Linked DNA regions of Macaca mulatta. The protein of the gene in region 4 interacts with the protein of the main gene of each other region in a biochemical or structural test. Links are inferred from orthologs where the notes say so. Each region holds a gene or a part of one and is shown on either strand. Other genes may lie near its edges.

Region 1 (5,568 bases), on a different chromosome or scaffold from region 4:
ACTGGGATTTAATGTGAACCATAACCAGGGAGAGTGAACAACGATAAATTAACATAAAAGATAGCAATATCAGGAAAAGAAGAGGACAGAGAGTTAACACTCAGTATTAACATATATAATTAAATAAAGTTTCATTGTTTTTTACATTGTCCAAATGATCTAGTAACCTAAATCATGGAATTTCTGATCTAGCAATGGCTGTTGTCAAATTCAGTAATTAAAACTTCAACCCAGTGTAGAAAAGACACTTCTCTGTTCATTTAAAAGATATTTGTAGCTTATTTTTTTTTTAAATAAGTGATTTATTCAAATAAATTCTAGCCATGATGTGCTGGTTCCTATTTACTGGCAATTATTTCTGGATTATATAAACGTGTTAATTACCATCAAGTAAACCTTGTTTTAAAAGGCAAATGGTAAGTGTGAACAATTATCCAAATGGAGGATTCCCATTTGTGTCTCTGGCTTAAAGTCTAGTGATTTGTAGTGATCTAATATTTTATGTAAATATAAAATCTAATGATTTGCCTTATTAAATTTATAAGATATATGAGATTATAGATAGCTTTATAAATACAAATTTTGTTCAGAAAACTGGATCTTATTTTAGAAGACATGCTCTTAACACAAATGTATTTTATGAATTATCTTAAGCTTAAAGACATACAATTATTCACTTTTATTTTTAAAGAAAAAAATATTATAATGCATTGCAAAATATGTGCTACTGGAAATGCATCAATTTTTTATTTCCCTAGCCTTACCTTATACTATAATATAGAATCAATTTTATAAAGGCAAAAATTTGATTTACTATGAGATCAGTAACATGGTTTTAAAGTCAAAAGATTTATAGAAGTAGTATGTCCAATTCAAACAGAATTTTGCCGGGTTTTAATTTTTCTACAAAGCACTGAAGTAAATAATTTTGTGAAAAGTTTTTCTTTAATATGTTTTAAAGGGTTTCAAGTATTCTACAGATAGAGATTTTGGGGAGAACACCAAATTCTTTCCAAAAAGACAGCTATTTCAAGTTTTCTTTTACTCCATTGTAGAAGGTTTTAAAGACTTTTTTTCTCCAAAAGCTCATTTTCACCTGAAATAATTGTATTCAAGGGTTTCTCAGCAGGTAAAGTATACATTCTTACAAGGTTTCAAATTTCAGATTTCCAATAATGCATTTAAACTGAGCACTCCTCTTTCTGTGTATGTATCTATTATCTGCAGTTCTATTATTTACACTAAATTTTAGTCTTTTTAGCTCCTCTGAAATACGTTAGTGAACCCTCAGCAGTTACTAACCACTTAATAATTGTGAACCCGCCAGCCCCTTCAAGTAGATCGTTAACCATAAGAGTGCCTGACAATTTCCAAACCATACCCTCTGTCTAAAAGGAAAAGATAGGGCTTTGTGAGGCAGAAAGGAAGCGAAGGAAAACAAAACAAATGTAGCTCATGCTGAAAGTGAAAAGTGCTTGAACAGATTAGTATTTTCTTTTCTGCAAGGCATCCTGCCAAACTTTTTCTTTATTTTTTTAAGAGAAGAGTTATTTTTTGGTCTGATTTTTCAGTTTCTTGGAAAGTATTGGTATTTACCACCCCCATCGGCCCTTCATAATTATTGTTAGTTGTTTTGTGTTTTTCCCATCCGTCCACGTCACACAGTGAGGATACCCCCTGCTTCACCCTGTCAAAACCCCAACTCTGGGCGACCCTGGGTTTGGAAACTCCGCCGACTCCCGACGACACGTCCCACTCTCTCCCACTAACGCCGCTTATTTTAGTCGCAGGATCCCCCTACTACAGTTTCAGTGAAAGCCGGAAATTTTCATTTAACTCCCCTGCCCCCCCAACCCCCCCGCCCCGCGCCTTTCTAGCCCCCGACTCGTAGAAGGGAGCTAGGGAGCCCGGAGCTCGGAGCACTGCCGGGGCTTGGCCGCCTCCTTTCTCTCCGGAAGGCTTTAATTTGCACACTTTCTTGCCACTGCGCCACGAGCCCCCAGCCTCGCCGCTGGGTGGGTCTCCGGCAGAGTTGGCTTCTCGGGTCCCTGCCCCCACCCCGCGCGGTCGCCCCCGCTGCCTCCCTGGCTGGGGCCCCCAGCGCCGGCCAGAGCCCCGCGGCCCCCGTCCGCCCCCAGCTAGCGGCGCGGGCGGCGCCCTCCGCCTTCCCTCCGCCCTCCGCCGCTGTGCCCACCCCCTCGCCGGAGAGAGTGCTGGTAACTCCTTCCCCAGAGTCTGATTACCTGCTCCGCGAGGCCGCGGACACGTGCGGAGAGCCGACTGACACTCGCAGCCCCCTCAGGAGGCCCGACGCGACTGGGCCCCTCAGGTGAGGAGCTGTGCGCTCGGGTGGGTGGGCTGCGGGGTGGGGGGTCCCTGGGGAGATATGGGGGATTGGCCGGGGTCCGAGGCAGAACTGTGGGTGGGGTAAGTGGAGGCTGGCGGGGGGTGGGGGGGACCTGTGTTTCCCTGGAATCGGCTTTGGTTAACCCCTTACGAACTGAGACGGCGTTGGTTATGGGGGCCAGTTTTGGGGAGCTAGAGGATTCTAATCTGACGAGAGGGGGAGATCCTACGCTAGGGACACCCGCGACACCGAGATCCTGCTTCCACGTACCCGTGCGCACACACACTCACACAGAACACTCCTCATCCAGTTTCTCCAAACGGAACTGGAACTCTACTCGGACATTCACATAATAATTCACATTTAGGGTTCAAAATGCACTGCCTCTAGGGACTCCATGCTGGAGAATGTGCTTGCATTTCCCCCACGAAAACTCCCTCGCCAGCTCGCTGAGGTGTGGGTGTGGGCTCCACCTTCCCCTCCACGAGATAAATGTTAACGCAGGCTTCCTGCGGGCGTGTTATGCACAGAAGAGTGCACGCAGCCGGCCGGTGCCCAGGCTTGGAGCCCCACGAAGACGCACGTTTGCTTTAGTTTCCAAGTTTACTTTTATCATTTAAAATATTGGAGTTAAACACACGCCCCGTGGTGAGCAGCCCTTGTCCCCGCAGGGCGCCCGTCCGTGTGCATATGGGCGCATCTGCGTGTGCGCACACGCGGGAGTCGCGGTCCCCGGTGTGGCCTCTTGTTGCCGTGCTGGTGGCGACCCTTGTGGTGCTTGGCAGGCTTCGGGAGAGGCGCATGAAGGATTTCATTGAGTGTGAAGACAGAGAGCAGAGACAGAAAGCAGAAGGAGGCGGCTGCAGCCTTTGTAGTCGCGGAGGAATGCGGAAATGTTGAAGCACTATGTCAAACTTTTTTTGAAATGGGGTCAAGTCACATTCAGCCAGCGTGGGAAAGCAACAACAACAACAAAAAAAAAGTGGAGGAGAGGGGGGGAAAAGGCATTGCTGCTCCCGTTTCTCTCCGCCGAAGCCGACCGTCTGGGGGGCGAGTGGGGGGAGAGTCAGGGTAGTGCGGGGCCCGGCGGGGGCAGCAGGCGAAGTTCCCTGCGGGGGTGGGACGTCCCCGACGCTTCCTTCGCTGCGGAGCCCGGGGCTAGACTCGAGCGGGAGGGGGATGGGGGGACGCAGGAGAGGCGGGTTGGGCGGCCGGCGGCGGCTCCCCGGCTACCTGTGTGGCCCTCGACCTGGCTCAGACGCCCGGGCAGTCCTTGGGGGCTCTTTCCTCGGCTTTTAAGGAAAGTTCTGAATGGAGTGAGTGCCAGAAGCACTGCTTTCGCCGCGGTCCGCTCCACGCGCTCATCGTGGGGGTCGCGCCGTTTGTTTAATTCCTGGCAAAAGGCGAGCGGGGCAGCGGTTGCGAGGCAGGTAATTCCGAGGTGCCCCGGGAATTCCGGACACGCGGCCAGCGTGGTGAAAGTCCTGCCGAGGCCGCGGCGGCCGTGGGGGAGGGAGGCTCCCTAGGTCCCAGATAGCTGCTGAATGGGGAGGGAAAGTTAGGGTACCCTTCTCCGGCGCTTTGTTATGCAGAGGGCTCCGGGGGCGTCCGGCTGCAGCCTGGACCCGGCCTTTAGCCGGAGAGGGAATGGGGCAGCCACCTCCGCTACCTACAGCGGGGTGGTCCTGGGAGTGGGAAAAGGTTCGCGAGTCCGGGCCCCGAGGGCAGAGACCTTGTTTCTCACCCCTGGAGGCGCAGGGTTTAACCCCCCACCCCCCACCCTTTGAAAGAGAGGTTGAGTTTTGCTCAGGTCGAAATCAATTTAAAACTTCAGGACGAGGCGCGATTAAGCTATCCTCTTCCTGAAATTATTCTTTAAGAAGACGACAAGCGAAATTGTGACGAACACCCCTTTCTCCCACCCTTGGGATCCCGTGGGGGACAGTGTCTCCCCTCCCCCAGGACCTCTCGTTCGCCCACCCCCGATTAGCCCCAACCCTCCCCGACCAGATGGCTGGTCTTCCCAAGGTTTCCACCAGGGAGGTCCTCCCAGTCGGAGAGAGAATTCCGTTTCCAACCGAGACTCCTTTACCCCAAAGAGACCATTTGTGTATGCGAGTCGTTTTTAAATGTCTCCTCGTAGAAAAACTGAAAGTAGAAAGAAAGGAAGCAATTTCTGAGCAGATGTCTGACCACCCCTTCTCGCACACTCACAGCATCGGGTTACAGGGTCCTGGGAGCCCCCACCCACATTCTGCGGCCCCACACGGATGGACCCACAGTCCTTCCGCTCCAGCTTGTGCGCGACCCTTGAACGCCCTCCGGCACCCCTGGACCCCATCTCCCTGCACGTCCGGGCCTCAGGAGGCGGGGAGGGTAGCGACGCAACACAATGATATAGGGATAAATATTAAGCCGTGACATTGACGTGCCCGGCGCCTCCCCTCCCCCGCGCTCCCGGCACACTCTGGGCTGCTCGGCACGCCCCCTCCCGTTCCACTGCGTCCCGCGCCGCTCGCTCATCCCCGAGGGGCCCCTGCAACCTCTCCGCGCGAAGACGGCTTCAGCCCTGCAGGGAAAGAAAAGTAACTTCGCTTTTCTCGGAGGAACCAGGAAGGATTAAGCGGCTTGGGAGAGGGCAGGAGCGCGCGGAGGGTAGCGATGGAGGCTTCGTAAAGGAGGAGGAGGGGAGTCTGGAGGAACCCCGAGGAAGGCTTCTGGGCTGTCTGATTGCACTTTCTTCTTATCCTCCCGTCTCCTCCTTTAGGTGCAATGATTCTGGACTGAGACGCCCTTGGGCAGAGGCTATGTAATCGTCTCTGTCTGTGCTGAGGACTTCGCTTCGGGGAGGGAAGAGGAGGGATCGGCTCGCTTCTCAGGCGGCGGCAGCAGCGACTCTGCAGGCGGAGTTTCGCGGCGGCGGCACCAGAGTTACGCCAGCCCCGCGGGGAGGTCGCTCCATCCAGCCTCCGCAGCCGCGAGAGCCCCAGCGCCCGAGCGCCTGAGCCAGCAGGGAGCAAGGAAAGCTAGACCAATCTCCGGGGAGCCCCGGAGTAGGCTAGTGGCGGCCGCCAGCTAGTTGAGCGCACCCCCCGCCCGCCCCAGCGGCGACGCGCCGGGCGGCGTCCAGGCGGCATGGAGAAGGACGGCCTGTGCCGCGCTGACCAGCAGTACGAATGCGTGGCGGAGATCGGGGAGGGCGCCTATGGGAAGGTGTTCAA
Region 2 (4,977 bases), on a different chromosome or scaffold from region 4:
AACTGCATGTTTTACATCCTTTGGGATTCATTCTCTCTGGATAAGACCTATATGTTTCTTTTGCAGGGTGCATGAAGGAGGTTTATTATCCTCCCAAGACCACTCTTCCCTACCCCCCAGATCTGTCTGTTTCTTAGAGAACAACAGAAGAAGGAAAACAGGAGCAATAGCATCCCTTTAGTGTCAACATTTCAGTAACAGTTCAGCACCTATACACATGTGTGCGTGTGCACGTGTATTGCTCTAGAGTGGGGAAATTCTGGGGAATTCTAATGAGTCTGAAGAAGAGAAAGATTCACAAAGGAATTAACCTGTTACACAGACTGAAAAGGCTACTCTACGAGTCCCTCGAACAGCCAAAATGAAGCGTGATGAGAGAAGCAGAAAAATATTAGAAGTTGTGACTTTAAAACATAAGGAAGGTGCTTAGAGAAAAGAACTGTTTACTAAAAGCGGAGATGTCTGGTAAAGGAAGAGGAGAAGGGAGAGAGAGGAGAAGAAAAAGAGAAGTAAGCAGCAGAGGAGGAGAAGAAAAAAGACCAGGGAATCCGGGACAGAGGCAAACACAAATGCCAAGAGGAAGAAGAGAGGGAGGTGGCCTTTGCTGAACACTTGGAATATAGATAAAAAAGGATCACACACAAAGGCATATTTGTTTAAGCTGGTCTTTCAGAACAAAATTAGGAACCTTGTACTTTCTGCAGGGGGAAAAAAAAAGTCTCAGATGATAGCCTGATTACACACAAATGAGCTCCCAAGGAAAGGCCAAAATGACTTCCTCCTTTTTAGAAGAGCACAAGTCCTCCCTTGTAAGAACAATCCTGCCCCTCAGAGGCTGCTTCTCTCCCCAGTGATGTGCAAATCGATCTCTTATGCAAAAATCAACCATGCTTTCATTTCTGGGATATTTCCAGTTTCCATTTTCTAAGTGATAAGAGTCATAAAAAGTCAACAGCTTGCCAAGGAAAGGGAGTGAACAACATTTATGTTTTTAAATAAAGAAAAAGATCATTAACATTTAGATTACTTTTTTGCCTTTCGAAAATGTGACCACACTATCTCGGCTGTTCCTGAAGTCAGGCTTTCTATAGGAAAGGTGTTTCCAGGCATTTTGTTATCCTCACCTCGAATTTCTGCCTGAGTTCCATGTTTCCTTCTTCGTCCCCTTCTGGAATGGGTACATTGTAGTACTCACCTTCTTCTTGGTTAAGCAACTTGTACCTTTCAAAGACAGGAGAAAGAGAGTTACCACCGCAAGTTTAGCAAGCCTTCTCCTGAACCTCTAGTCAAGCTGTTTTGTGAAACGCATCCTATGGAGAGGCTACAGGTAGAGAAGTAGACATTTGACTTTTTTAAATTTTTATATTTTTGAGACAGGGTAGCTCTGTTGCCCAGGCTGGAGGGCAGTGGTGAATCACGGCTCACGGCAGCCTCAACCTCCTGGGCTCAAGCGATCCTCAAGCCTCAGCCTCCTGAGTAGCTGGGACTACAGGTTATACCACCACGCCCGGCTAATTTTTGTATTTTTTGTAGAGATGGGGTTTCTCCATATTGCCCAGGCTGGTCTCAAACTTCAGGGCTCAAGCAATCCACCTGCCTTGGCCTCTTGAAGTGCTGGGATTATAGGCATGAGGCACCATGTCCGGTCTCAACTGACATTTTAGAGACTGAAACCTAACTGTCTAAATGGTCTGATGCTTTGAGACATATTCAACCTCAGCAGCTTCCATACCATCCACTGGCTGGCATCTTCATTAGTTCCGAAACCCCAAAGGAAAGGGATCCCATGAAGTCATTCCTTGTTGTTCGATCCCAGTCCCAGATTTCTACAGACAGTCGTCGGTCTTTGTCTGAAGGTTTCAGTTTGCTACAAGACACACACACATGCAAACACTAGGTTATTTTGATCATGGTTTCTTGGGAGATACCACCTGTACATGATTTGAGCCTGAGATACAGAAATAGTATATTTGATTCTCTTCCTGGTCCAGTAAAATACCAACCCCTTATGCTGGCAACCAAAGCGCTACAGGAGGAGTTAACAAACTATGACCCATGGGCCAAATCTAGCCCACCGTCTATTTTTATAAATAAAGTTTTATTAGAACCCAGCCATGGTTATTTGTTTACATATTGCCTATGGCTGCTTTGGCACTAGAAAGTTGTACAGGTGCAACAGAGGCTATATGACCCACAAGGCCTAAAATATATACTATCTGATCCTTTACAGAGCAGAGCTTGCTGGTCCCTCTAGAATAGATAGCTACCTTTCTGGTTGTCCACAGAAAAGCTGCTTCCTGTATACTGGTCTACAAAGGGGACCTCCTGCTTTTGCTCAGCTGCACTCAGTCTTCCTGACTTATTTATTCCCTCCTTCCTTCTTCCCCTTCTACCATCTCTACCTCTGAAATCCTAGCAACCCTCCCAGGCTGGCTTTAAGTGTCACCTTTCTTTTCCAGGAGGTCTTCTCTCTTTGAAGGCAAGAATGATCTTGCCGTTTCAGTGGCAATAACACTTCCTATATTACTCACTCATTCTGTGGTCTAAAAATTATTTAAATTCTTGTCTTATGCCCTCCCCTAACTCTCAAAAGAACCTAAGTCTATCGAGAGGTGGACACACCGGATACATTTTTACATCATCTTTAATACCTTACACAGAATTGTTTAACCAGGTTAGATAATGATAATAATTTGAGGCCGGAATTATGCAACTCTTGGTAAATCAAATTACTATCTATCAAACAGGTGCTAATAGCTACCTCCCTAATGGCAGCCTGAGGAGGTCTTAGGACTGAAGACACGTTTAAAGACGTTTATAATGAACCTACTTCATTACCTCAAACAATGAGGTGGGCAACTGCATGGTGTATAGGAACGAGATTTGATCAAGGAGAGACCACTTACAATGTAAAGGACTCATTCCACTGGGGATTTAGTGTGGAGCGGATGGTTTTGGTTTTTTGTTTGCTTTCATTCTTGGGATCAGGAATAAGTTTCAGCTTCACATAAGGATCTGAAAGCCCGTTTGGATCCATAGGGATTAGATTTTTTGCATCTCGTACTGTGAAGAGAGAAGGAAGAAAACATTACAAAAAGAGAATGGACCTATATTGCCCAGTGTCCTGTGCCAATACCAAGCTGAGTAAAAGAGAAGTCAGGATGGCATTTAAGGAGAGAGATGGTGGGAAGCCAAACGCCTCTAACGCTCGTCATGAGAAAAGCTACCCACTGCCACCACCGGCAGAGATAACAGGCATCGTGTGGGCCCTTGTGGGCGGGTCTTGGGACTCAGCACCAGCCTGGACTGGCAGCATCAGCAACACTCAGATATCTATTAGAAATGCAGAGATCCAGGTCCCACTCCAAACCTGCCGAAGCAGAATCCATTATTTAACAAGATTCCCAGGTGACCTCTGCAGCACCCCAGGAGTAATGGCGCACCCTCCCAACATGGAGGCAACCAGCCCGACCTGGTCCATGGTGCCGCACATGCACCTGACCTCCCAGAAGGTGTTATCCCTTTTTGTGGGTAAAGGCCAATGGCTTCCAACTCTGACTGTACATTGGAATCACAAGGGAGTTGGGGAATGGGGGAGTTAAAAATTCTAATCCCCAGAATTAAACTAGAATCTCCAAGGAATGTGGCTCAAATATTTGTTTTTAAAAGCTCCTTGGGTGATTCTACTGGGCAGCAGGGGCAAGCACCATTGCTGTATACAGCTGTAACTCAGAATTGCTGCCCGGTGCTGATCCATGGACCAGCGACATCTACATCACCTGGGAGCTCATTAGACATGTAGAACCTTGGGTCCCACCTCAGACTTAATAACTCAGAATCCTCACTTTAACAAGACCTCCAGGCACTTCCAATGCAATCCTAGCTTGAGAAACCTGATATGGGAATCAAAAATAATTAGAAGGAAACGCCATTTCGTCCACAGAAGAAAGCAGGCTCGGAGATTTAAGAGCTGGCAGAGGCTCACAACCGTGAGAAGCTGTCTAACGCCACTGCACATCAACGTAAAAGGTAATTATCTACTGCTATGATGAAGGGACAAAGGCCTGAGCCTCCTACCCCAAATGCCTTCCTCATTATCTTCCCATGGCATCTTTCCCAGTGAGGCTGAATTACCAGATATGCAACTGGTCAGACACCATCAACACACGTATAACTGGGACCAGGCTCCCTGGTCCAGTGGTTCCCACAGTGTGGTCCCTGGACCGGCGGCACTGGCATCATCTCCTGAATCAGAACTCTGGGGTGGGGTCCAGTGGTCTGTGTTTATCAAGCCTCCGGGTGATTCTGATGTCCATAAATGTTGCAGAACCACAGATCTAGGCAATTAGCATAGTTTATCGGCATAGTTTAATTATTAAGAATTACAAAAGAACTTTAGAAGAAGGCACTGGAGTTGTCAGTGGGCACGGTTAGATGGGGAGGGGGCGGGGGGAGAATCCTAAAGATGTTGGGTCTTTGGACACAAATGAGGGAGGTACAGCCCTAAGATCAGAAGTCAGACAGGCATTGCCTTTACTAGTCTGTGGACCTACTGTGTGCCGCCTCCTGCCAGCCAACAGCCTTACATCCTCCTTACCTGGCAGCCTTACACAGGTGGGCAACAGATGGGACTACATTCAAATACAGAGGGGGAGGGGGCTGGCTCAGGCCTGCTAGCCACAGAGAAGCTGAATATATGTTTCTCGTACCCCATTTGTGCCTTCCAAGTATTTCTTCTCCTAAGAAAATATCTAACCTCATTCATCTCGGGGAGCAGATAGCACATAAATGAAACACACAGGCATGGTCCCTGTGGCTCAGCAGGTGTACGTGCGAACTCTGCCTCCTTCACCATGTAACCCTGAGCACTGGGAAGCTTTGTCTCTGAGCCTATGTTTCTTCATCTAGAAAAATGAAGAGGGGCATAATTCCAGTAGTATAGAATTGTTGAGAGACTCGAGTAAAAGAATGCTTATA
Region 3 (5,542 bases), on a different chromosome or scaffold from region 4:
TTTGGTTTTGTTTGTGAAGTTTAAAGGCCAGATTTATATCAGGCCTGGGACCTGTTTTTCTTTCAAAAGCCCCCCAGCAAACTACCTTATCTCTTTCTAGATCCCTCCTCATTCTCTAATCTCTCTAATCTAACTTGCCAAGGGGCCTGTGGCAAAGGTAGAGCAATCTGTCCTTTCGGGCTTGCTCATAGTAAGTGCAGAAACAAGCCAAGAGAGAACCACAGATTCTGCTCTCTTACCCTCCCTATTATCCAATCGAGCCCAGTTAATTTTTTTTTTTTTAAAGCAAATCTGAGATAGTGTCACTCCCCAGGTTAAGATTCCTGCACTCCTCAGTGCCCTCTTGGCCACGTACCCCTCACCCCCAACCAGGTGGCCCTAGGCAACAAAGGTCTGGCTGGAGTTGGTCCACCTCCAAGCTTCCAGAACTGCTTTCAGTTTCTCCACTACAAGAAGCTTCACCCCACCCCACTCTGCCCTGCCAAGAGTTCTTAGCAGCCACTGACACTTCCTCCAGGAAGGCAATCCCACCCTACCAGTGCCCCAGTCTATGAATTGTCCTGCTCTGGGTCCGCAAGTACTCCAAGAAAGTAGTTTTTCTGAACTTCTCTGTAATTCTGGTTCACTGCCCTCCTCCCTAGGCCCCAACACATGCATGCACACACATGCACTTGTGCACACACACAGTAAGTAACTCCTGAAGGACAAATTCTGTGTGTCATAGGCCCAGCACCTAGCACAATGCCTGACACCCAGTTGGTAACCCTCCAAATATTTACTGAATGAATGGACACATAAAAATGAACACTTTCAGCCGGGCATGGTGTCTCATGCCTATAATCCCAGCACTTTGGGAAGCCAAGGCGGGCAAAGTGCTTGGGCTCAGGAGTTCGAGAACAGCCTGGGCAACAAGGTGAAACCCTGTCTCTACAAAGAATAAAAAAAATAATAATAATAGTGTACTGGTGCATGCCTGTAGCCCCAGCTAGTCAGGAGGCTGATGTAGGAGGATCACCTGAGCCCAGGGAGATTGAGTCTGCAGTGAGCTACAATCATGCCACTGCACTCCAGCCTGCAGGCAGTGTGAGACCCTGTTTCAAAAAAAAAAAAAAAAAAAAAAGGCCTTAAAATAAATTTTCTATTTCTCTTGTTTGGTCATGAAAGTGACCAGAAAACACTCAAATCTCAAACTTTGGAAGTGGTGCTACATCTCACCCATGGAAATTTGAAAAGATCAAAAACATCAATGCAGGCCACATATGCTCATGGTTTTAGACAAAACCAAAACTTCAGGAAAGTTTTCAGATATTAAAGCTACAGCAGGCAGCAGGAAGTCTTTAAGAGGTGCTGGTAATGATAACCCAATAAACAAATGTTAAAATAAAGCCAGGACAGAAACACTGAGTTGACACAGTTCCTGCATGAGCCCACTTTGGCTGCAAAACGCCAAGGCCACCAAGTAATTGACCTTGCTTTTTTTTTTTTCATAGGTTTTGGGGGAACAGGTGGTGTTTGATTACATAAATTCTTGAGTGGTGATCTGTGAGATTTTGGTGTATCCATCACCCAAGCAGTATGCCCTGAACTCACGACCTTGTTCTTAATTCTGTACCTAGCTCTCCCTTCTGCCTACTACAGTCAGTGGCCTGTTCTCATTCATCTAATGCCCTTCATGATCAACTCCTGGGCTTGCACCTTTCAAAAAGCACACTCCCCACTTCATCTTTTTTGCATTCCTTCTTCAGAAATAACCACACGGCATTATTATTTGTTTCTGTCTTTTCTGCTAAATTCAACGGGGACAAATAATATACTGTCCAGGTCTGAATTGGAATGTGGTCTGTGGACTAGCGTAGTGCCACTTGGGAGTTCGTCAGAAATGCAAACTCTTAGCTTCCACCTCAGACCACCTGATTCAGAATCAGCATTTTAACCAGCTTCCCCAGGAGATTCCCATGCACATGAAAGTTTGAGGAGCACTGGGCTAGATCCCACATTCACTCAACAAATATTTATCGAACCAGTATAGGATACAGAGGTGCTCAACATAAACATGAGGATACGGTGTGGAAAAAGAGCAAGCACAGACATTCCATTGTGACTAAGAAGCTCCTGTAAGTACTAAGAAGAGTATAACCCAGATGTTCCAGTAGAATAAATAATAGTTATATCAAAATTCAGAAGTGGCCACTGCAGCTTGGTTGTGGGAATTGGGAATCCGGAATCTGGGAACTTGACCCTCTTTGCAGCAGGCAGGAAGAATACAGGGAGGTGTGTGAGTGTGTGTGAGTGTGTCTCTTCCCTGCCTCTGCCACAGGCCGCAGGAGCTGACAAGGCCAAGTCCCCGCCCCCCTCAGCTGTCACCCTGTCAAAACAAAGCCGCTGCTGACAGCGCAGGGCCAGCCTGCCCCGCGGCCTCGGGCAATCCTCCCACCTCGGGAGCACGGCCCCCACATCTGGATCTGCAGCTGGGGATGACAGGGTGCCTAAACTGGCACGGAGAGTGGGTAGCAAGAAATGGGTGTCCTCAAACCAAGCAGTAGCGTCCGCGGCGCTGGGCTGTCACCTTGCCAAATCCTGTTTACACCTCGAGCAGCTGGGACAGCGTTTTAACTAAACAAGTAATAATACAATAATGACAGGGCTGTCACTGCGCGCGGCAGCGCCTCCGCCCCCAGCCGAGGGCGTCAGGCGCCACAAGACCCTCGCCTCGGGCTCTGCCCACCTTCGCACCCCGCGCTTTCCTCCCCTTCGCTTTCCCAAAGCGCCAGGAGTCCGGGAGTCTTCTCCACCCCGACTCCTTGCACCCAGTTCCTCCCAGTGGGACACGGGAAGGGATCGACTGCAGAAGGGACCACTCAGTCCCCCAAAAGATGTTTCCCTGCCCCTGGGTCGCCCACCACATGGAGAGCACCGCTCCACTCCCGCGAAAGTGACTCCAGCGAGCTCCTACAGAGCAACAAAACCCCAGAGTAGCCCGGGAGCTCGGATTCCGAAGCTACTCCTTTCAAGCGGAAGGAATGAAGGGCTCTCCGTCTTAGTGATCCCCTTCTTCAAACCCAGCAGGACTCTTATCCAAGAAGAAGCTAATTGGGCTCGGGCGACAAGAGCACTTCCGCGGTGCAGCGGCCCCAGGCGGGAGGCGGGAGGCGAGAGGCAGAAGGCAGAAGGCGGGAGGCGGAGGTGGAAGCGGGAGGGGGAGGGGGGTCCCGCGGGCTGGGCCCCTAGCACCCATCCGCGGTCCGAGAACGGCGAGCGCGTACCTTGCAGGCGGAGTACACTCCGAGTTTCTCCAGTTTCTTGGCCCGCGGAGCGGAGCGTAGTTGCGCCTTCTTCACGGCGATTCGGGCCGAGCCACCGCCTCCCGGTCCTTCGGCCGTGCCCGCTGCAGCCACTGCCGTTGCCGGACCGCAGGCGCCCGAGCCCCCGGCAGCAGCGGCGCAGGGGGAGCCCTGCGGGGGCGCGGGCGGCAGCACCACGGGCTGCGGGGGCAGCGCCCCGGGCCCGGCCCCTGCCCCGGCTCCTGCCCCGCAGCCGCCCGGCCCGGCCCCGCCAGCCTCGGACATGCCGCCCCGGAGCACGGCAGGAGGCGCCGAGTGTCAGGCGCCGCCGCCGCCGCCAGGGTCTCCCTCTCGGGCTCTGGTCGTCGGGAGAGCGAGACCCTCCCCCCACGCCCTCCCGCCCCCTTCGCCCACCCCCCTCCCCGCCCCCGCCCTCCCCCTCGCGCGCCGCTCGCCGGGCTAGCTCCGGCCGGGCCCCGCGAGCTGATGGTGGCGGCGGCGGCGGCGGCGGCAGCTGCTCCCCCAGGAGGGAGGGGACTAGCGGCTCCGCTGCCGCTGCCGCTGCCGCTGCCGCTGCCACCGCCGCCACAGCACACGCCCTTCCTTGGTTATCCTGCCCGGGACTCTGCTCCGCGCCCTGGCTGCGGACATGTTCCTCGGGGCTGCGGACTGGGTGTGCGTGCGGGCGGGTGCCAGCCTCGCAGTGTGTGCCGGGGCCGGGAGGCCCCCCACGGCTTCTTTTCCGCTGCCCGCGAGGTTTGCACCCCCCACCCCAGTGCCTCGACACCTACTGCTCGCCCGCCAGGGGGCGAGGCCAATCCCTGGGTGTGGGTGAGGGTGGGGACGAGGGTGGGGGTAGGGGACTGGAGCCCAGGCACCTGCTGGCCACCTCCCCCCTCCGCGGCCCCCCATCCGACCCCCGCACGCCCGCACCAGTGGGAGGGGGCCGCCTCTCAGTCATTTGTCCTTCCACTCTCTTCCACCCTGTCTCTGAGCAGAGACAACTTCCTCCACCCTAGCGGGAGCCAGAGGAAAAAAAAAATATTTTTGAAAAGTACCCGTCCATGCTAATCCTTTTCTTTGTTGCTAATTCACCAAAATAAAAGCGTGATGTTTTCCCTTTCTCTTTTTAAATACTTTCTGTCAAACTATGTTTTAATATAATTAACACTTTCTTCCTATAGCAATTTGTGGGTCAAATCTGCCAGAGGAGGGGGAAAAAACTTACTATTCCCTGTACTTTTTGTTTGAAAGTGCTGGTTGCTAAAAGAACGATTGTCTAAAAGCATTGTCAAAATAAAAACTATGTGCAGTGGAAAAAGTTTGAATACAAAAAGTTTGTTAACAGGACTCGTTTCTGGGTGGTGGTTCTATCACGTTACGTAGTTTTCAAAATTGTACCACCAGCGTGCATATTAACCAGGAAAAAGATATAAGCATCATTCAAAAGAATAAATACCGATTTTGGCCTCAAACTTAAAAAAAAAAAAAAAAGAAAAAAAAAAACCCTCAACTCAGTTTTCAACTCTTGTTGAAAACTGTTGTTTTCTCTGTTGATGACTGTGGAGCATACATGTCAGTGCTGCGTTTGAAAGTGGCGTACGGTTGATCGCCTTCTTAAAGCAGGTTTTAAAAGTCCAGGGCTGTTTCTCAGGACCCTTCAGAAGTGCCCTACTTTTTGTTATATGCAATGTGGGTCATAATGTGCTTATTATCAGATTTTATGCATGCTATATAGCTCTCAGGCCAGACGCCTTAAGGGGTGTGCTTTTCGTTGGAAACATTCCCCTTCTCCTTTTTCCAGATTCTCTGTGTTATTTTGACTTGTAATGCAGTGTAATACATAAACATGGGAAGGTGGGGGACTTTGTAGATCTAAACAGTGATATTAGTTTAGACAGGGCAAAAGGCAATATTCTCTCCCAACTTGAGTCCAGTCTTGAGGGGATGAAATGGCAGATTCTTATCAGGTTCCGTTCAGGACAATTAACTTCAGTGCTTCCTTTCTTAGCTTGACGTGCTTCACGTTACCAGTGGTACTCTCTCCTGACTCTGCTGAGAAATTTCGCAGATTTTTGCCATTCTCCTCAAAGCAGGGTGAGAGTCTTAAAGGCTGTGCTTCTCTGATCAAACTCTAACATGGATTTAACAAATACTAATAAGAGCTTGGGTTCTACCTTGTAGGCGTTTGTCAAACTGATGGAATGGTCCACTTGAGATTTGTACATTTCACTGGATGTAAATGTTGCCTCAAAATTTTT
Region 4 (3,990 bases):
ATTAAAATTGAACCCCAGAATTAAAATTGCAAAAGCTTAAAGGGGCAGTTCTGAGAAAAGGATCTTCAGTATTGAATGTGTGGGCTCCACCAGGGTTGAAAATCCTGCACGATTGATGAAACACGATCCAGTTAAGCATAGTAATTTTCAAATATTATCCAATCAGGTCGCTACTGTTTCTAAAAACAGAGAAACCGAGCAAGGGCTTTAGAGTTGCAGCTCTAAAACTCCATTGCAACTAAGCTCCTTTGTCCTGATGAGGGCCTAAACCAAGTCGACAGCCTGTAAGTGCACCCATGGTAAAGCGCTGCGCAAAGCAAGAGCATTTTGCGTTTCAAAGCTTTGTCATGATGGCGCTGCAGAAAGCGAGCGAGCTAGGCCTACCTGGTGGGGCTTTCAGAGGACGCCAACGTGGGCGCCAGTCACGCCAGAAGGGTCACCGTCATTCCCAAGGACAGACACCTCTCTAGCCACTGCTGCGGAGAGGGCGTGATTAAGCCATGAATTTTGCTTACTATCCCAGAAGCATTTCTTAGGACCACCCAATTTCGGAAAAGGCTACTTTAGCAATATTGACCCAAGAACGCAATGTCCGCACTTTAACCTTGCATAATAAAAAAGCCTCAAGCCTGGGACTAGGCTTCAACCTTGGTTCGTTACAGTTATGACTAATTAGCTTGGGGTCGTGAGATGCGGGACTTCGGGCTACTTAAAAAAAAAAAAAAAAAAAAGCAAAACAGGTGATCTAAAATTCGACTTTAACTCGGTGCATTTGAATTCACCTTGCTATCTTTGATAGCCTCATCTGGCAAGAATTTACTACTCAACCTATGTTAAAGTTCCTATTGACTCTCCAAGTGATTCTAATATAAATGAGGGCGTATTGCATTTGCTTGGGGGAATTTCATCTGTGTACTACAGCTCTTTTCCCGAAGTGTGTAGGTGGCTCTTAAAAGAGCCGTTGGGTTAGTAAAGTTTCCAACCGAATTTACTTTTTCTTGGGTGCCGCTTTCTTGGGTTTGGCAGTCTTTGGCTTCGTCACCTTAGCCTTGGCCGCCTTGGGTTTTATAGCCTTAGTTTTAGCAGGGCTTTTAGCTACTTTCTTGGGTTTTACAGCTTTGGGTTTTTTGGGACTCTTAGAGGATTTCCTTGTTGCCGCAGACTTTTTAGCATTTTTTGGAGTCTTGACGTTCTTTTTGCTAACCCCCGTGGCCTTTTTGGGCTTTTTAGACGCACCCGTTGCCTTGGTTTTTGCAGCCACCCTTGAAGCGCCGGGCTTGGTTTCCACGGAGGATGCCTTCTTGTTGAGTTTGAAGGAACCCGAGGCGCCGGTGCCCTTCGTCTGCACCAACGTTCCCTTGCTTACCAGGCTCTTAATACCCAGCTTAATGCGGCTGTTGTTCTTCTCCACATCGTAGCCTGCGGCCGCCAGCGCCTTTTTAAGAGCAGCCAACGACACACCACCACGCTCCTTAGAGGAGGAAGCAGCCTGCACGATCAGCTCTGACACGGAAGGGCCAGCAGGCTTTTTCTTAGTGGCCACCGCAACCTTAGCAGGTTTCTTTGCCTTCCTGCTAGCTGAAGGTTTCTCAGGAGCAGCAGAAGCGGCGGGAGCGGGAGGCGCCGTTTCGGACATGGTGACTAATACAGCACACCAAGTAAACTGGTATAAACCTGACCAAGCAGGATGCGAGAAAAAAAAGGCCCCGACTCAGCCTATTTATAGGGTGGGACTGCGCAGTGATTGGTGCCCGTCAGTGCCCGCCCCTCGCACCCTAGCGCCCCCTGCGCTCTGCAGAGGGTTTCCCCCAGTCTCAGAGAGCACCTGGGGGCCTCTAGGGCCTATGGTCCCGCTCCCCTCAACGCAAGCAAACACACCGAAAAAGCCGCTCCGATTGCCTCATTGTGAAGGAAATTGTAGGCCGACTGCCACCTAGTAACATCAGAGGGTGCCGCTTGTCTCTCAAAAAGCAGCTCTGTTTTAGGGAGTAGGTTGATGGGGAGCGGTTTGCAAATGCAGCCCCACAAGCATCCAGGGAGTTTTATTAGAAAGTTTTAGAGGTCCGTTGCCAGATATGTTAGTTTTTAATTTGCAAGAAATGTAAAATACAGTGTTTGAATAGTTGGGGAGGAAGAGGAAAGTGCGGGTTTTAGGCCGTGTTAGGGCTAGTAGTCATCAACTCGATTACATTTTCTGGCAATGTTTTAGAGCGATGTGTCTCGCGAATACCTTTCACGTCAAAGAAGAATGAATCGTAGACAACACCAGAATTCACTAACGCTGCAATTAATACTCAAACTGCAAGTGTGGAAACGTTTCTGCACTTGTAACTTACTTCCACAGTCCAATGTGGGATGCACTTCAGGAATTTCCAATGCCCTTTTCATCCATACAACATGCCCCAAATGGGTGTTAAGGTTTACAACCTGTGTTCCATGTCAGCACATGCAATGAGAGCACCATGACATGGTGAACTCATTGTTTTATTCAACAAAGATTTATGGGCCTCACAAACCTGCGAAAGGCGTTAAATGCTGGGTCCAAGAAACTGGTTCCCCGACAGGCATTCTGCTGGGGAGTTAAGTCTCCTTAGTGTGAAAACAAACGGTAAGTGTAAGCACACCCTGGGGATAAGATTTTATGGTAACCTCTCTTTAGCTTGTTTGTGGCTGTTAAGAGCATTTCAAATTATCAATAAGCTAAAACGATCTCACATTGCCAATCAGAGACTCAGCTAACGGGAGAACAAAAAAAACTATTAAATCGACATCCACTTCTACAATCCTATTCTGGATAACCCCCTAACACAGCGGAGAGTGAGGGAATGCGGTCTATTTCCGTTCGTGCTGTTGTAGTTTTTAAATAAGTCCGAACTGTGCTAAGTAACCTGAGCTTTTTCCCTTTTTCTTCAAACAACGTGTCAACCAAATAATTGTAGTAGTCCCAGATAACTATTGTACCCATCTTCTTTACCAGTGTTTCCTACGTCTATTTTATTGAGAAGCCACGCATTCAAATATTTCACGTAATTTCTTAAAACTTGGAAAATAACATTTGGAAACTATACATCTTGGTTTGACGGCTAGTCAGTTATGAAACACAGGTATATAAAATTGGAAGGTTTTTGTAAGTAAACCCTTTATGAAAGATATAAACCTTTCTTAATGTAATAAGCGAGGTATCTGAAAAAAACGCAACTTTTAAAAAGGAAATACTCCGAATTATCTGATTCAGGAGCTTCCACTTTAAATAATGGGTTCTGCCTCCCTTGTTTCCATTGGGTTAAACTGGCTTCAAATAAAATGGGAACGCTCCATGCAAATAAAGGATGATAGATCTGCTTTCTAAATGGCTGTTCAAGAAAATAGCCTAAACCAATCAAAAGATAGAAAGTGGCCTGTCTCCTGTGAATTTAAAAAGGTCACAATCCACTTTTTAGTGTTTTGAGACTTTTAAAATGATTGCATTAGCGCTTGGCAGTGCTAAATTATGTTCCTTGCGGACTACCATCCAGTTTCTCTTGGGCCAAGTCCACCTCCTGCTCCGCAAGAGCAACAATTCCCAGCTGGTGGTACCTGGCGGCAGTGCTGGAGAAACGCCATTTATTGACTGGCAGAGTACACCTAGGCTTAGAAAACAAAAGCTGCAGAACACTGCAAGTTTAGGATTCAAAGAGCATAATCAAGAGAAAGACGTCTCATAGAAAATGTTTCTATGAGGAATAGTGTAATCCTACTATGTTTGAGATGCTTTGTAGATTTCAATAGCGCTACTAAGTCAATTAAAGCATTACAAAGGAATGCAATTCTTGTGAAAGGTTTCAGAAATTCCCGTAAAGGGTACATTTCCGGAGAGGAGAATTCCCTCTTTTTTTTTCTCCTAAAGAGCTGAAGGCTATACAGAATTGGAGAATTATAATACCTTTGGAATCAATGCCTTGTTTTATGGAAAATAAACACAGCCTTCAGGTTATGAAAACCAGATGTATA

The links.
Region 1: of the proteins of H1-1 (region 4) and CDK6, one has a biochemical effect on the other in vitro, tested with the Homo sapiens proteins (2 studies listed by BioGRID). The link is inferred for Macaca mulatta from reciprocal best matches to the Homo sapiens genes H1-1 and CDK6.
Region 2: of the proteins of H1-1 (region 4) and PRKCA, one has a biochemical effect on the other in vitro, tested with the Homo sapiens proteins (3 studies listed by BioGRID). The link is inferred for Macaca mulatta from reciprocal best matches to the Homo sapiens genes H1-1 and PRKCA.
Region 3: of the proteins of H1-1 (region 4) and KAT2B, one has a biochemical effect on the other in vitro, tested with the Homo sapiens proteins (2 studies listed by BioGRID). The link is inferred for Macaca mulatta from reciprocal best matches to the Homo sapiens genes H1-1 and KAT2B.

What each region holds. Positions count from the first base shown.
Region 1 is NC_133408.1:126,534,313-126,539,880, forward strand, and holds the start of CDK6 (cyclin-dependent kinase 6), read left to right. Parts: upstream 1-2,203; 5' UTR 2,204-2,329; intron 2,330-2,982; exon of another isoform or gene 2,983-3,777; intron 3,778-4,840; exon of another isoform or gene 4,841-5,002; intron 5,003-5,114; 5' UTR 5,115-5,482; coding exon 5,483-5,568. UniProt on the Homo sapiens protein: Serine/threonine-protein kinase involved in the control of the cell cycle and differentiation; promotes G1/S transition. Phosphorylates pRB/RB1 and NPM1.
Region 2 is NC_133421.1:76,437,749-76,442,725, reverse strand, and holds part of PRKCA (protein kinase C alpha type), read right to left. Parts: intron 3,064-4,977; coding exon 2,907-3,063; intron 1,868-2,906; coding exon 1,733-1,867; intron 1,222-1,732; coding exon 1,125-1,221; intron 1-1,124. UniProt on the Homo sapiens protein: Calcium-activated, phospholipid- and diacylglycerol (DAG)-dependent serine/threonine-protein kinase that is involved in positive and negative regulation of cell proliferation, apoptosis, differentiation, migration and adhesion, tumorigenesis, cardiac hypertrophy, angiogenesis, platelet function and inflammation, by directly phosphorylating targets such as RAF1, BCL2, CSPG4, TNNT2/CTNT, or activating signaling cascade involving MAPK1/3 (ERK1/2) and RAP1GAP.
Region 3 is NC_133407.1:28,521,634-28,527,175, forward strand, and holds the start of KAT2B (histone acetyltransferase KAT2B), read right to left. Parts: upstream 3,599-5,542; 5' UTR 3,567-3,598; coding exon 3,264-3,566; intron 1-3,263. UniProt on the Homo sapiens protein: Functions as a histone acetyltransferase (HAT) to promote transcriptional activation. Has significant histone acetyltransferase activity with core histones (H3 and H4), and also with nucleosome core particles.
Region 4 is NC_133409.1:157,090,580-157,094,569, reverse strand, and holds H1-1 (histone H1.1), read right to left. Parts: upstream 1,637-3,990; coding exon 989-1,636; downstream 1-988. UniProt on the Homo sapiens protein: Histone H1 protein binds to linker DNA between nucleosomes forming the macromolecular structure known as the chromatin fiber. Histones H1 are necessary for the condensation of nucleosome chains into higher-order structured fibers.